Linked DNA regions of Neurospora crassa OR74A. The protein of the gene in region 1 interacts with the protein of each later gene in a pairwise test. Links are inferred from orthologs where the notes say so. Each region holds a gene or a part of one and is shown in the gene's direction. Other genes may lie near its edges.

Region 1 (7,450 bases):
AAAGGGGATTGATCACGATGGAACGGGGTCGCAATATGGTGGCGGTGGTGGTGGTGCGCTCTCTCAGTCGGGTTCCGATAGCGAGATGGTCATGTACAGCTCGCAGGCGGAAACGACGGATACGTCGGCTGATGAGAGTGTGAAGAGCCAGAGGAGGAGGTCAAGCAGGGTGAAGGATTGGGAGAGCGAGCTGTGGGATCTGCCTGGCCCGATGGAAGTGCTGGCGCTGATTTATATGGGGTGTCTGCTCAAGCAGGAGCCGGTGAGGGTAGGGGATATTTATCGGTGGGCGAAGAACAACCAGTTGCCGTTTCTTGGTGCGGTAAGTTGGTGTGTAGTTTTGTACTCACAAGAAGGTTCGCTTACTGACATTCTTCTTGCTACTCAGCTTGAACTGGTGCCGAACGAACTACGAGAACGTTTACCTGGCTGGGCTCAGCGCACGCTATTAACACGATGGGCAAAGTTTGACGGAAGCGAGCTTCACAAGTCGTTGTTGACCTTGACCCTAGGTTTTAAGAAGAACTATGGCATGGTATCACCACCACTCCCAGCACCGTCACTCCTCATCTTATACCTCAAAGATCTGGCTCTACCACGTAAGTTCTGCCGCCCCTCTTCCTCTAAAGTCACACACTCTAATCATCATCATCATACCAGCCGAGGTACACCTCCACGCCCGACAAATTTGCCTCATGCTCAACCTCTCCTGGACCTTCCCAACGCGCCAAAACATTAAAGACGACGCGTCTTCCTTCACCGGCAAGACCTCTCGCTACACCCTCCTCGACATCCCAGACGTGCTACTAGTCGCCTCTCTAGTGCTAGCAACCAAGTACATGTACCCCATGGACGGCGTCAAGCGGTATCCACGAGACAACAACGACCCATTAACGTTGAAGATGGACTGGGATGCTTGGGAGGCTGAGTTCGCAGATCCGCCCGAGAAGCCGCTGAGGAGGCTCGACTTTGCGACCATGGATGCGGAGAAGGTTTGGACTTTGAGTAAGGAGCAGATGGTGGAGTATTTGGATTGGTATCAGGAGACGCAGCTGAAATCATGGAGCGCTGCTGGTATGTCTTTCTCCTTCTCCTCCTTTCCCTCTCAGGGTGTCCGTCAGAATGCAAACGATTTACTGACAGACACTTGAAAACAGACGAAACCGAAATCGAACGTCTCTTCCCTCTCGAGAACGTCCTGCGATTACCGGAACCCGGCAGCAAAGACATGACCGATGAGCAGCTCATTGCTCGGATGCATCGAGTGCAAAAGTCGATGACGCTGGTTGAACCGAGGCCTGAGACTAATGATGGGAAGAATATCAAGAGGCTGGGTGCACTTCATCAGCGGTTTAGGTCGGTTGAGCAACTTGGAGAATCTGGACCTGCGAGAAGGTTCCATGAGAAAGCAGCGGAGATCTCGGGGCTGTCACTGAAGGCTTTGGTGAAGGCGGTTTATAGTCTGGAGGAACTGTTGTATGGTTGGGAGAAGAGGGAGAAGAGGAAGATGAGGTTGGGGGAGGTATGACTTGCTTTGAATACTTGCCTGAGCTGTTTCTCGGGATCAAACCAGTATGAGACCGATACTGTGACAGAAGATATCCATATTGAGCATTAGAAGAAGAGCACAAATCGGGTGCGGTTGAGGAAACTACTTAGCAATCGTTGGTGGAGGCGACCTTCTGGTGTTGAAGATGGAGGTACAGTGCAGATATGAAGCTGATGAACACTGTGACATGTGCACGCACCACTTTGCCCAGAGCGGCCGTTCCCATAACCCCACCATCATAGCTTCGTCCTGTTGCTGTTCCCCGACATCATCACATCACTCCCTCCTTCACCACTGCACCTCCAACTGACCACACCTAGGAATAACCGGTCAAGAGTAAGTTAATTACACTGCTTTAGACCAAATCCTCAATTCGTCGAGATGCTAATCTGACCTGAACCGCAGTGCAAATGTGAGTTTTCACGACGTTCCGCAGCACGAAGCAATCAAGCGGAGTTGAGTCAGGTCACTAACAAACGGGACGTTGTACCCCTGGTGTATAGCTTCGTCAAGACCCTCACGGGCAAGACCATCACGCTCGAGGTTGAGTCCTCCGACACGATTGACAATGTCAAGCAGAAGATTCAGGACAAGGAGGGTATCCCGCCCGACCAGCAGCGCCTGATTTTTGCTGGCAAGCAGCTCGAGGATGGCCGCACCCTCTCCGACTACAACATCCAGAAGGTCAGTGGACTGGTGGCCCCACAGCGCGCTTATGACGTAGATGTTATAGGGGTTGGGAATGGGAGGACAACTGCTGTGGTCAACTTCCATTTTTGCGATGGCCATGGGAACAGAAATGGGATTCAATTGATTGGTGTCATGGTCGACTTGCTAACATGGATTTCTGCTATAGGAGTCAACCCTCCACTTGGTCCTCCGTCTGCGCGGTGGTATCATCGAGCCCTCGCTCAAGGCGCTTGCCTCCAAGTTCAACTGCGACAAGATGATTTGCCGCAAGTGCTACGTACGTATACTCTATATCATCTTTTCGCCTTCTCAAATGTTGAACCAAGGTCTAACTTGTTTCTAGGCTCGTCTGCCTCCCCGTGCCACCAACTGCCGTAAGCGCAAGTGCGGACACACCAACCAGCTCCGCCCCAAGAAGAAGCTCAAATAGACAGCTCAGTGTTACGTACCAGCATCAGGGTTTGGCGCATTTGGGCTTTTTGGGGGCAAACGGGTATGGTTATGGCAACGGCATAAGGACAACAGGACAGGGAAACACGGGACCTGGGAATGGATGGCTACGGCTGAAAACGTCAAGTCGAGGACTTCTACGTAGCTCATGAATAAACTCGGACATTGCCCGTGGGGATACACAAAAGGGCATTGAAGCTCTCCTACCAAAAGCAGTGATCTTGTAGAATAATTTGAGCTTGATTATGAATGTCGCTCGAAACAGCTCAACTACCTTGATGGCCACTTTGGACCCACGTGACATATTGCGGGGAGTTACTGCAGGGACCGGGAATCCGTTAAGGGGGGGTGCACTGCTGCGGTTTCAGGACCCCAACAGGGGGCGTGCACGCAAGTGTACAGCGGTACGTACCTCTACCTACCTACCTCTACCCTTTGGTGTACGCGGCTCACGTTGAAACAGCTGTCCACCACCAGCTTCCGGAGGGACCAGACCACCTAAGTAGCTTTGGAGGAGCTTACCTATCGAGAGACCGACTTACACTAAGCATAAACTAATCATACCATTTGACTCCAAGGCGATTCACAGCTATCGGCGTGTTCCCAAGCTCCAACCAAATCACCATCGAAAGACTTGTCATCACAGCTCACATCCGACCAACAGACAGCAAACAACCGCCACCATGTCCAGATCAGGCTACGATGCAGTCGTAGACGTCGACGACGAGGTTAGTTCGCCCTCTCCTCCCCTCCCATCCGCTCCCATGGTAGTCATTGATCTTTACATACCCAACTAACCACCCTTTTTTCTCCTTCTCTCTCCAGGGCGACCTAGGCCACACCGACCTCCAAGAAGATCTCGAATTCCACCAATCCAACTTTTCCGAATCCTCCCCCCTCGGGCGCAACGGCACCAAATCCACCCAACACACCAACACCACTTCCACTTCCTCCCTCGGCGGCGGGTTACTTCCCGCTCCCGTAACCGCCGCCCGCACCTCCTCCAACTCGGGAGGAGGAAGCAGCAAGCGCTTCCTCTGGACGCTCTCCTTTTACGCGCAGTTCTTTGACGTGGACACGTCCAGCGTGCTGCAGCGGTGTTGGGCGGCCCTGTACCCGCGAGCCAACTTTTTGGATGTGTTGGAGGGAAATCCGGACCTGTACGGGCCGTTTTGGATCGCGACGACGGTGGTGCTGATTTTGTTCTTGGGCGGGACGATTAGTGATTATTTGGCGCAGACGGGGAAGGAGGCGTTTGCGTATGATTTTCGGTTGTTGAGCGGTAAGTTTTTTGTTTTTTCTTTTTCCCTTTGGGTGAATGGGTGATTGATTTTAGTAAAATTGGGGGCTGATATGTGATCAAAAAAAACAACAACAGGCGCCGCTGGTCTCATCTACGGCTACACCTTTGTCCTGCCGGTCGCTTTGTACCTTGCCCTGCGATACTTTGGTTCGGAATCCGCCAACCTGCTCGAGTGCTGGGCTTTGTACGGTTACTCCAACCTCATCTGGATCCCTGTGGCGCTGATCAGCTGGTCGCCGATTACCATCCTCAACTGGGTGTTTGTGGGCGTGGGGTTCGGCGTGTCGGTGGCCTTTTTGCTCAGGAACCTGTATCCGGTGCTCAGCGCGACGGATCGCCAGACGAGCAAGGTGCTGCTGTTTGTCGTGGTGGCGCTGCACTTTGGTTTGGCCCTGGCCATCAAGGTGCTCTTCTTTGCGCATGGAAGCCCGGCGTTGAAGGATGGTCCGAAGGGAGCTGCCCCGGGTGGTGGGGATGCGAAGCCTGCTGATCCGGCTACGATGATGATGATGTTCTAGGGGCAGGAGGTTAGGATATGAAGGAGATAGGCTTAATAGGAAGAGAGGTACGTTTGGAGCTGTGTGGCCTTGTATCTGATATTTGATGTTTTACTATCTTCATCCGTCAACAAAAGGTTATGGGGGAGGCGTTTGCCGCGATTGGTTTCTGGGATTGATAAGTTCAAGTTCAATCGGATTTTCAATTCAACCTATGACTTCTGCTGAATTGAATTGCGCTGGCAGTTTATTTCACCCATTTGCTGCCCTTTCTTTGGTACGCTGTCCTCCTCTTTCTATCCCGGGTATAACAGGTACACTACAATACGTTCCATCCATCCAGTTCCCAGGTGGTAGAGGTAGACATAAGAAACGCCTCCTCTTAACTACTCCCCTTCTTTTTTCCGTTTTCCTGACCATGCCCTTATGCGTACCCATCATCCTTTTTTATCCCATCCCTCGTGCCGCCCCACCACCCCTCGTGCCGGGGAGGGAGGGACCCCTTTCATTGTCCATACTCGCTATCGATACTTTGAACGATCTGACCTGCCCATAGGGTAATCAAGCCAAACCGCTTGCCACTTCCCCATGCCGCTGCTCGTCTCGAAATCATCTCAAGTCTTCCTAATACTACCACCCACAACAACCCCCCACATTGAAAAAAAGAATCAGTGCCCCATCCTTATTGATGAACCAAGTAGGAACAGCCCTTGTTGTCTGGTGCTGTTCATGGGACTACTACTCACGGACTTGCTGTTGCTCTTGCTCTTGCTGCTGTCTGAAGACGAAGACGGTGACGAAGAAGAAGAAGATCCAAAAGTGGAGTGGAATTTGTCCTTGAGGAGACTGGTTCGGCTGGAGAAACTGGATGTTGAGGTGGTGGATTCGGCGTAGTGGTGGTTCTTCTTCTTGGGTGAGGACTTTGAGGAAGACTGGTGGGAAGAGGCGAGAGGTGGAGATTGTTCCAGGGCGCGAGTGCCTTGGACGATTTGGAGGGCGTGAGAGCGGGAGGTGGGGTGGGAGGGGAAGTTAAAGTTTGTTGAGGCGGACATGATTTTGTTTTTTGGTGTCTGTTGGTCTTTGGGTGGTGGTGGTGGTGATGGTTGGTCGAAGAGTCTTGATGAGGATGTCTTTAGATGGTGTTGGTGGTGTTCAAGTTGTCCGTGTAAGTGAAGCTTCAAGTTGGTTGGTTGGTGGTGTGGTGTGGTTCTTGTGTTCTCGAGGAAGGTACCTAGGTAGGTAGGTAGTACTTGAGATCTGAACGAAGTCTGAAGCTGTTGATGTTGATGATGAACAAAAACACAACATCCTGAAAAGCGAGGCCATCAACTCCTCTTATACATCTCTGATAACTCTGCTTTCTTCCTCCTCCTCCTCCTCCTCCTCCTCCTCCTCCTCATCTCCCCTTACCCATCTGAACCACAACAATAGGTACCTACACTAATTTCGGTGAGGTGAGAAGGGTAAGGCCGATTTCGTCGAACAAAGCAAAGCCACTCCGCCTTTCTCCCCCATCTACCATCGGTATCAACGTATCTCAGTATCCATCCATCCCTTGATGTAAGTGCTTACCAGGTGTGCGTATACACATACGTGTACTACCTCCTACCCTCATCTCCACAGTAACCAAAGAAGAAGAAAAATCAAGGGCATTAGGCTACGCATTCCTTGTCCCTACAACCACGACAACAACAGATGGAATAGTAAGAACCCACCCATGCTCTTGCATATGTAAACCACGTGGGAAACCCTGTCAAACAACTCAGCCCAATTACTACTACTACCAAAAACAATGAAAAGTGAAGCAAAGCAAAGGCCATCATGCCTTAGTAATGAGTCACAGCACCGAAACCAAATTTTTTCTAGTCGAGTATTTGTCAATGGCTAGGTACCTATGCATATTGAAAATGACAGCCAAATGCTCAGCGTAACTCAATAACGTCTACCAAGTATACTATCAAAGTAAGGCTAACTAGGTAGTCTAGTCGTGTGTGGCTGCGCCATCCATTATAATTCACTATGATTCATCATGTGCATGTGCAATTGGGAACCTTTTTCTAGGGGGGGGAAAGTTACATTTTTTTTCGAAACGCCACCCAAGGAGAAAAAAAAAAAAAATATATATATATATATATGTGTCGTTACACAAAGGCACAAAAAGTAGCCGCGTGTGTACGCAGTAGGTAAGTTTGGGAAAAGAAAGACTTGGTCGGCAGTGGATTGCCGAACGAAAAAGCTTACCTACCTCTAGCCGTGCTGACAGCGGCAGGTAGGTACGAAGACTACCTAGCAGGCTACGTTGATGGATTACGTTTGTTTACGCAGTAATAGTTGTCAGTTAAGTTAAGCAACGTAAGTAAGTAGGCTACCAGAATTTTCGGGTTGTATTGGGAAGCACTGCCGTCGTCATACCGCTTTTTGTTTTGTCGTTTCGCTTTGGGGATGTTGGATCGGGGAGTTTTGGTGTTGTTTGGGTCGTTCGACGTACGCGGCCAACCGTGATAAGCAGCGGGGCGGGGATATACATACACAAGGGTCGAAAAGCTTAGTCTAGTTACCCGTCCATTGGAAATCTTATTAATACGTACGTACGTTGGTCACAAAGCTCGGGGTGAAGGTCCACGCATGATGGTGATGATGGTGATGTACGTAGGGTAGTTCAGCCTTAGACTTCACATGTTTATCATTTCAGGGCTGACGTACGTTGGGTGTGGAAGGGATGGATGATGGTTCTAGGAATACACCAGTAGTGTAAGCAGCTTTGGAGGTTACGAATCCCGGCGTCCATAAGAGGGATGAGACTATTCCCAACTGGGATTCAACAGAGAGTCTTCTAACCAATGGGCTCTCTTACCGTTGTGACACACACACACACACCGAAAGCAAAAAAGTTCTTTTCGGGCTACGTATCCGCTGTCAGTTTCTACACTACCTGTCACTTGTGGCATCATAGCGTACGTA
Region 2 (7,602 bases), on another chromosome or scaffold:
ACGACACTGCTACTGCTAGACATCCGGCTTCAGATATCCGCCAGCAACGAACACATGATTCACCCAGCCCTTCGCTTCTTCCAAGTAGAAGCACTGGCTCTACCAGACAGCCTTCGCCTGCTTCTCTCCGGCCAGACTCTCTTTTCTCTTCGCGTGGTGATGATTCAATACTTGTCCTACCAAATCGTCCGAGTAGCAGATCAACTACATATTTCACATGGTCAACAAGTGACAGGGATCCGGCGCCAGTGTCCAACGTTTCCATTTCAGAGAAACCCCGGAAGAGCATTCAAAGTTCTGCTCGGAAGCTTGTCCTGCAGGAGCGGGAAATAAAGGGCCCACATGTGGTTTCGGAGGATTTCAAGATTAGACCAGCTTCGAGAGCAAAGCGTCATCCACGGAAATCGATAGTGTACCAGGATGCTCAAGTCCAGACATCGTTTGATGCAGATCGGAATCAAAATCGCCAATACCCAAAAAATTCTATACCCCAGTATCAAGATTCCGCAGTCATGACAGCAGACGAAAACAGTAACCTCAAACAACGTGTCTCCATGCTGCCTGCAGAAGCATTGCCAACTATGGACAAGAGAACTGTATATGAGCAGCCCTCATCCAATACAACAGCAACAACGCTACTAGATGTACCACCGCAGCCACAGTTCCAACCTCAACCACAAGCCTGGGTTACCTCTAATGCCAGGGATAGACTCTTTTCTCAGCCGTTTGTAGCAGCGCGTAACTTGTTTGCCCAAGAAGGCTGGCAAACATATCAGGAGCCTTCTCCTAAGCAAGCATCCGGTCGCTATACGAAACTCGTTCCGCCTGAAAGAGTTCGGGCTGTAATGCCTTCTCACCAACCAACCTCTTTGCGCCCTGCAGTTGATCAAATTTCAAGGTCTATTTCATGTCCTCCAGCTCAGCTTTTGTATGCTCATACGCAGGATCCGCCTCGTGAAAGTATGGAAGATTACATCCGCAGAATCGAGCAAGAAGCTCTGCAGAGTTCCACCAACAACGAAGAAATGGATGGATCACAGCCCCATGGTCCAGACCTGACTGAAGGTATAGGGCGGCAGCAGCTCGGCCATGGTTTATATCCCGAAGGCAATGATACATTTCTTCGGGACACTGCGTGGTACAATCAGCATCAACTTCCAACAGACACAGCACATATCCAGGTACAGGATCCCGAATATTTCGACCTAGAGCATTACGGGCAGGGCATAGGGGGTCAAGATACCCGGTTACCGAGACTGTGGGAAGATCCTCGCGAGTTCTGAGATGTGACCTGATCCAGCAGAGAAGCCATCACTCCGGCTTTTGATCTTTCCACTTTGCTTTAATGTTTTCGATATCCATTCCACATTTTGCGGCTTTGGCGACTACCGCCCGAGCCTTTCCAACCACAGGAGCATCAATCATCTTTCCGTCCAAGGTCCAAGCACCTCGACCAGCTGCAGAGGCCTGAGCATCGGCAACGAGGATACGAACGTACCACTCAACCTCGGCCTCTGCTGGAGCAAACATTCGCTGAGTCACTTCGACCTGACTGGGGTGGATACACTCTGTTTGAATGCCAAGTATTAGTGAAGAGCACAGTTCCCATAAGAAAGGCACCGTCGGTACAAGGAATGGAAATTCAGGAATAGGTAACTCACGCTTTCCGTTGAAGCCCATCTCCTTGCCGTTTTGACACTCCTCCTCTAGCTGCTTTACCCCCTCTGGACCCTTGTATGAGGTACAAACAAGGTCAATGGAGCTAGGGAGATCGAATGCTCTGGCAGCAGTTACAATAGCACTTCTGGCGTACAAAAACTCGGCCAAACCTGGCGTTCGCGTAATAGACAGGTCCAACGCAAAATCCTCAGCAGCAAAGATCAGACCACTCAGATACGGTGACGCAGCACATATCGAGCGCAAATCCATGACTGCTCGGGCCGATTCAATCAAGGCAAGTAGCTTGAGAGGGCTTGCCGTGGGGTTAGAAGAATGTCGCTGTGGTGCAGCATGGCGAATGACATCTGTAACGAAGGACAGATCACTAGCACTGTTGACCTTTGGGATGACAATGGCGTCAAGGTTTGGGGCGCTTGCGAGAGTGGTCAGATCATCAAGCGCATAGGGCGTCGAGACAGCATTGATGCGTACAGCAAGCTCTCCAATGGAGGCCGGCTTGTCCGAAAGTGAGGACAGGTGGTCGCGCAATTGTGTGCGAGCGGTCTGCTTGTTTGCTGGAGTCACCGAGTCCTCAAGGTCATAGGTGATATTATCACTAGCCAAGGAGAGTGACTTGGTCATGAACTTCTGAGAAGACGCAGGAACTGGGTCATGCTGAGTTAGCAACTATTGCAGCCATATGACAGGAGGGTTATATCTTGGATAGACCGCACCATATAGGAGCGCCCGACGGAGGACGGAAGAGGTAGCCATGATGTTCAGTTTCAAGTCAACAGGTGGGCTCTGCGGTATGTCTGGATGTTGACGGGATGGAAACTATCTGGGCTCACAAGTATGACCGACCCAGCCACTCATCCACTGCATACACTGCTAACAAAGGCCCGAGAGCATCCTAAACCACTCAGTGACTACTGTCTGTAAATCGGGAAGAGGGGAGAAAGTCAACAGAAGGATGTTGCTGAGCTCAATGGGGAATCGAATGGCATGTGACGTAGCACCAGCGCGGAGCTGTAGCTTCGGGCCGCTGTCGGCTGGGGCGCTATGTCCACTAGATTTTACTGTCCTCCGACCTCCGTTCTCTGGCTCAATATGCATGGTAACTTTGTCCCCGGAGAACCTCATTTTTAAGCAACAATAGGATAAGAAACCGGGAAGCACGGGGATTGCTTTGACGCAAAAAGACATTGAGTTCCATATCGAAGTAAAGCCTGGTTATTTCAGTTCGTAGGGAGGCTTTGTACGGAAGACCAGCATGGTGTTCATGCCCAAGGGGAAACGTGGTTGTAGGTAACGATAGTGCATTAACAGCAATGCTGAGTTGTGTGGGGAAAAGGTACCTCCCAGGTCCTGCCAATTACCTGCAAAAACTGGGTATTTCGATACCTTGAAGTCCTCCCCACCGGATATTCAGCCGTTAATACACCCTAGCTTGTGTTCGAGACGGTCTGTCAGCGCGGAGCTTAGGTGTTCTGACCTGCGCAGTTGCGCATCGTGCAAACGGCTTGGCTTCACCTCTCTCCAACTTCACGACGACACCATTGTGACAAAGTACCTTCGAACCCGGTAACAGGTCACCTTCTGATCCTGATGATGGAAGCAACACCGACGCCCGGCTCTTTGAGCTGGCGCTTGAGCTCGCATCCTATTACGCTCCTGACATTCCTCGCTTTTCGATCATGTAGGTGCTCGCAGTCCCTCTTCCTAGCTCCCTTTGTCAGTGTCTCGAGGATTGGATGTAGCCCATTACGGCCATGATGGGGAGGAGAATGCATTCCGGCAGGATGATGGGTAGAAGGTCACGAAGAGAAGACGGGGGAGGATGGAGCACCCGATACCTGCTACCAAGACACGCTTGCTAAAACCCGATCGCGAACTACAGCCAGTCTCCTTGTCTACCTTTTTGGCCTCTTATTTACCGACAACCTGTAAGGCGACCCCGTCAGCCCCCTTAAACCACACCATATCAGATGCTCGACTTGCCCACTTGCTCGTCTATACAGTCGCAAGCGAACGCGAACCCGAGAGTGTTCCCAGCCTTCCACAGCTTTCATCCATCAGAAGAAATCAAGGGATTAGATTGCTAACCACCCCCCCAACCGACCGGCAGTGTCATGATCTTCATCATAACCATCCTTCTCCTCGCCGGCGACTTTTACTACCTCAAGAACATTGCTGGCCGCCGACTCGTGGGCCTGCGTTGGTGGAACGAGGTCGATCCTAACTCGGGCGACTCGCACTGGGTGTTTGAAAGCAGCGAGCCGGGGACCAAGATCATCAACGCGACCGACAGCCGCTTCTTTTGGCTGGCAATCTATGCGCAGCCGCTGCTGTGGGTTGTGCTGGCTATTGTGGCCTTGTTCAGTTTGAAGTTTATTTGGTTGCCTCTTGTTGGTATGTGCCCCTTTCCCCTCTATCCATCGTACTAGCGCTTGCCAGTTCCCTTGGCTTGCTTGTTGTGCTGCGTGGTTTTTGGGTTGTCAAAAAAGGCATTATATGCTAATCGGAGGTTAATGGGCGTGTTGTATAGCTATTGCGTTGGTTCTTACCATCACCAACTCGCTTGCCTTCTCCAGGTGCGACAAGTTCAGCCAGGCTTCCAACATTGCTGGAACCGCGTTCAGCTCGGGCAACATCGCTGGTAACATTGCGAGCAACATGGTTGGCAGGTTCTTCTCGAGGTAGAGAGCAAGCAGGACGAGATTCCCCGAGGTCAGGGAAAAAGTTGTGGCTTTGGATTAGTATCCGAAGGGACTGTTCTCGTCAGATATCGATAGAGAATTCAGCCCCGAAGATACTTGATGGCCATCTTAGGATTCTCATGTTTTCATGATGTGCATTATGGGTCGGGCTCGAAATTGGTGACAGTATAAGGAACTTTTGCACGACAAATTGCCGATGGTTACCTTCTAGATTCATTGCCAGCAAAAATAGTATCTGAGCAAGACAAGATGTGTGAATTTCAGGGTCCGTTATATGGTGTCCGGCTCAAGTACTAGTAGTCCATGATTTTCTTGTTTCATGCGGATCCTTCGGACATGACATAGGCCATGGCTCTGAGACCACCATTCGGTACGTTCACTCCGTTTCCTCGATGCATTCACATTCTCTGAATCGCTCCATAACTGTTCGCAGAATAAAACAGAAAATGGAAATAGAGTTGCTGATCAAAGATTTTTCGATTTATAACCATCAGATATTGTAGCATCGCCCCTACTGATACGGACATACGTAACTTCCCAAAGATCAACAATGAAAAAGGAAATACTCATATCATCACCCTCTTCCTTAACTACTTTGCTCGGTTATCTTCACTTTCCAAAGCATTCGTCATAGGTGCCTGGAGCCCCTCTGCCCTCCCGCGTGCTGTTCAATGGCCACATCAAGCTGTCGCTCTTCCTCCTCCAACCTCCTGATTTCCTCCTCTGTCATGCCTTCCTCGACCAAATGAGCATACGGCGTTGACAAGCTCCTACCCTGTTGCTGCTGCTGGCTGATCAGACTACCCCGGTTGCTATCAGTGCCTGCTCCCCCATGTGTGAACGATGGTGCGCCGCCACCGCCGCTGTGCAGAGTGGTAGGCGACCCTCCTCCTTCTCCCCCTCCGGACTGATGATCAGAGTACATGGTAAAAGACCTTCCAGACTGATGATCGTGCGGTGTCTGCTGCTGCTGCTGCTGCTGCTGCTGCATCATGTGGTAGGACGGGGCGTTCGAAGCCGGGCTGTCTCCATCTCCTTCTAGTCTCCCATCTGCTCCGGGAAGAACCACCTGAGGGGGAACGCCAGAATCAATGTTAGGAACAACGACACTACCGCTATTCCTGTTGGCACCGGCGTCACCCATTCGCACGAGGTTGTCAGAGTAAGGCGAGTGAGGCGCGCTCGTCACGTCGTGGATGACGCCCGCGTTGGCTTCCTTCTCGGCTATGAGCTCGTCACCGCCGTTCCGACCGCCGCCGCTGGCGAAGCCCCCGTAAGGCCCACCGCGACTGGTGCCGTCTCGAAGGGCGTTTTGCTTGTGGCGCCGCCGGAGGCAGAAAAAGACGATGCCGCTGATGAGAGCGAGGCCGAGGAGGCCGCAGGCTATGGCGATTCCAACGATGGCGCCAATGGAGATACCTTTCTTGCTCTTGAGGTTGGAAGGCTCTCCGGTGCCGCTGCTGACTAGGCCGCCGCCGTTGGTCGGGGTGGCCAAGGTTGCCCCTGGAGTGGGAGAAGGTGATTCGGTTGGCTTTCCGACTCCAGCTGACTGGCCGCCCCCATCGGAGTCGTCCCTGATCGGATGTTCTTCCGGAAAGACCGGGTCAGGGTTGTTGAGCAAAGGATTTAAACCATAACCCTCAAGTATGGTATGGTCTGGCGCAATGTTCCCGATTGTTGTGAAGAGCCGGCTGTAGCTCCTGCCCGTTTTGCCGCCGTTCTTCCAGACAACATCAAAGTACAGCAGCTTCAGCGGGGCTGGCTGGGCTGGCTGGGCTGAGGTATTGTTGAGGTTGAGGATAGTCCAGATATTGTCAATTGTCACCGAGCCTCCTGTAGCATTTGTCTCAACTGTTGGCTCGTTGCCTTCAGTTAGCACGAACGTTCCAGTCATCACGTCACGCCACGGCGAAGAGAGGTTAGGCTTTTAGACAATTTGTGATGCACTTCCTGTTGACTTACCGGTGAGGTTGATGGGATACGACGTAGATGTTGGCAAGGTGATGATATCGCCCTGAGGCGCCATACCTAAGGTTAGATCTGGCCAGCTCCCAATTTTCTGCGAGGTTTTTGCAAGGCTTTGAAGCGAGGCAGGCTCGACTATCGTAGTGTTGCTGTAAAGGTTGACGGTGTTGACAGTGGTACCGCTCGTGTTTGTGATATTCCATCTGAACGTAGTCGCCTCCCAGATTACGGCCGGCTTGCCTGGTATTTCTTTTGTCCCCTGGGTAAATCCGTCACTGTCGCTGAACATAACGATGTCCGTATGAGAATTAAGTGAGGCTGCGCAACCTGCCAATGGCAGACCGGCTAGCAGCCAGCTCCTTTGCGTGGCTATTCGCATGATGAATCGACTCCCGCTTTCCTAGGCCTCCCCCTGTATCCGGCCGTCGACTTCCGAAATGTGTCGTGTAGATTCTCACTTCCTCAAGCAAAATGCCTTGTAGTTCTAGATATACGCATCTCCTCTTATAATCGGCTTCGTTTTCGTTGGTGCCGGTTCGAATCCAGAGCAGATGTGCTGACACCGGTAAGGGACCAGCTGCTAAGAGTGTGCCAGATGAACAAAGGTGTGAGAAAATGGACAACCCAAATGGAACCGGGCACGATGAAATGCGAAGCGTGTGTAGGTAAGACGGCCAGGGTCTGTGGAGTAACAGAGCGAACGAGGCTCGGGAGTAAGCACCAATACCAACTCGGGATAGGAGCAACTATCCGTATGGAAGATTGGATGGATTAGACGCACAATACCCCCATCCGCAGACAGATGAAGGGTGGGACAGGCAGAGGGCGAGGAGTAAAGAAAAGGATCAGATAGGATGGGAGAGCGGGAACTCCTAAGCAAAAAGAAACACCAGGCCAGGCCACAAACGGGCGGGGGGGCCAAGGTCGGGGTGAGCTGGGTTGTTGCTTATGTAGAGCCTGTTGGTGCAGTGGCTTGGGTTGTATGTCAAGCACACTCTGACGCTCGCAAGGGAAGGGGGAAAGGAGAAAACAGAATGGTACAAAAAGGGTAGGATGGAAGGCCGCTCAGCTGAATCAATGGGACCAACAAGTGTCAGATCGGTTCACCCAAGGCCAGTCTGTTCTAGATACGAAAAGATTTCCAGAGATAATATTTCATGGGTACCATCTCCTCTGTCTTGTCTTCTCTTCCTCGGTCACTTTAAACCAGCGAGCTACCCATTCAGCTCGCTCTTATCTCCTTGTGCCACTTGCCTTC

What was found. The genes of interacting proteins can lie anywhere in the genome.
Region 2: the proteins of NCU05276 (region 1) and NCU02733 interact in a two-hybrid assay, tested with the Saccharomyces cerevisiae proteins (2 studies listed by BioGRID). The link is inferred for Neurospora crassa OR74A from reciprocal best matches to the Saccharomyces cerevisiae genes YIP5 and TVP23.

Annotation. Positions count from the first base shown.
Region 1 is NC_026504.1:5,493,403-5,500,852, reverse strand, and holds NCU05276 (Yip1 domain family), read left to right. Parts: upstream 1-3,108; 5' UTR 3,109-3,372; coding exon 3,373-3,417; intron 3,418-3,514; coding exon 3,515-3,971; intron 3,972-4,067; coding exon 4,068-4,510; 3' UTR 4,511-4,740; downstream 4,741-7,450. Other genes in the region: NCU16890 (hypothetical protein), read left to right, coding at 1-322, 389-599, 661-1,074, 1,158-1,528; NCU05275 (ubiquitin-60S ribosomal protein L40 fusion protein), read left to right, coding at 1,885-1,885, 1,955-1,961, 2,053-2,233, 2,406-2,516, 2,583-2,669; NCU05277 (hypothetical protein), read right to left, coding at 4,995-5,102, 5,236-5,541. UniProt on the Saccharomyces cerevisiae protein: Possible role in vesicle-mediated transport. May be involved in proper membrane localization of Rab GTPases.
Region 2 is NC_026501.1:3,357,971-3,365,572, reverse strand, and holds NCU02733 (golgi apparatus membrane protein tvp-23), read left to right. Parts: upstream 1-3,106; 5' UTR 3,107-3,267; coding exon 3,268-3,358; intron 3,359-3,559; coding exon 3,560-3,605; exon of another isoform or gene 3,606-3,787; coding exon 3,788-4,071; intron 4,072-4,207; coding exon 4,208-4,362; 3' UTR 4,363-4,659; downstream 4,660-7,602. Other genes in the region: NCU02735 (hypothetical protein), read left to right, coding at 1-173, 236-370; NCU02734 (citrate lyase beta subunit), read right to left, coding at 1,312-1,568, 1,662-2,324, 2,394-2,433; NCU02732 (hypothetical protein), read right to left, coding at 5,008-6,230, 6,342-6,723. UniProt on the Saccharomyces cerevisiae protein: Golgi membrane protein involved in vesicular trafficking.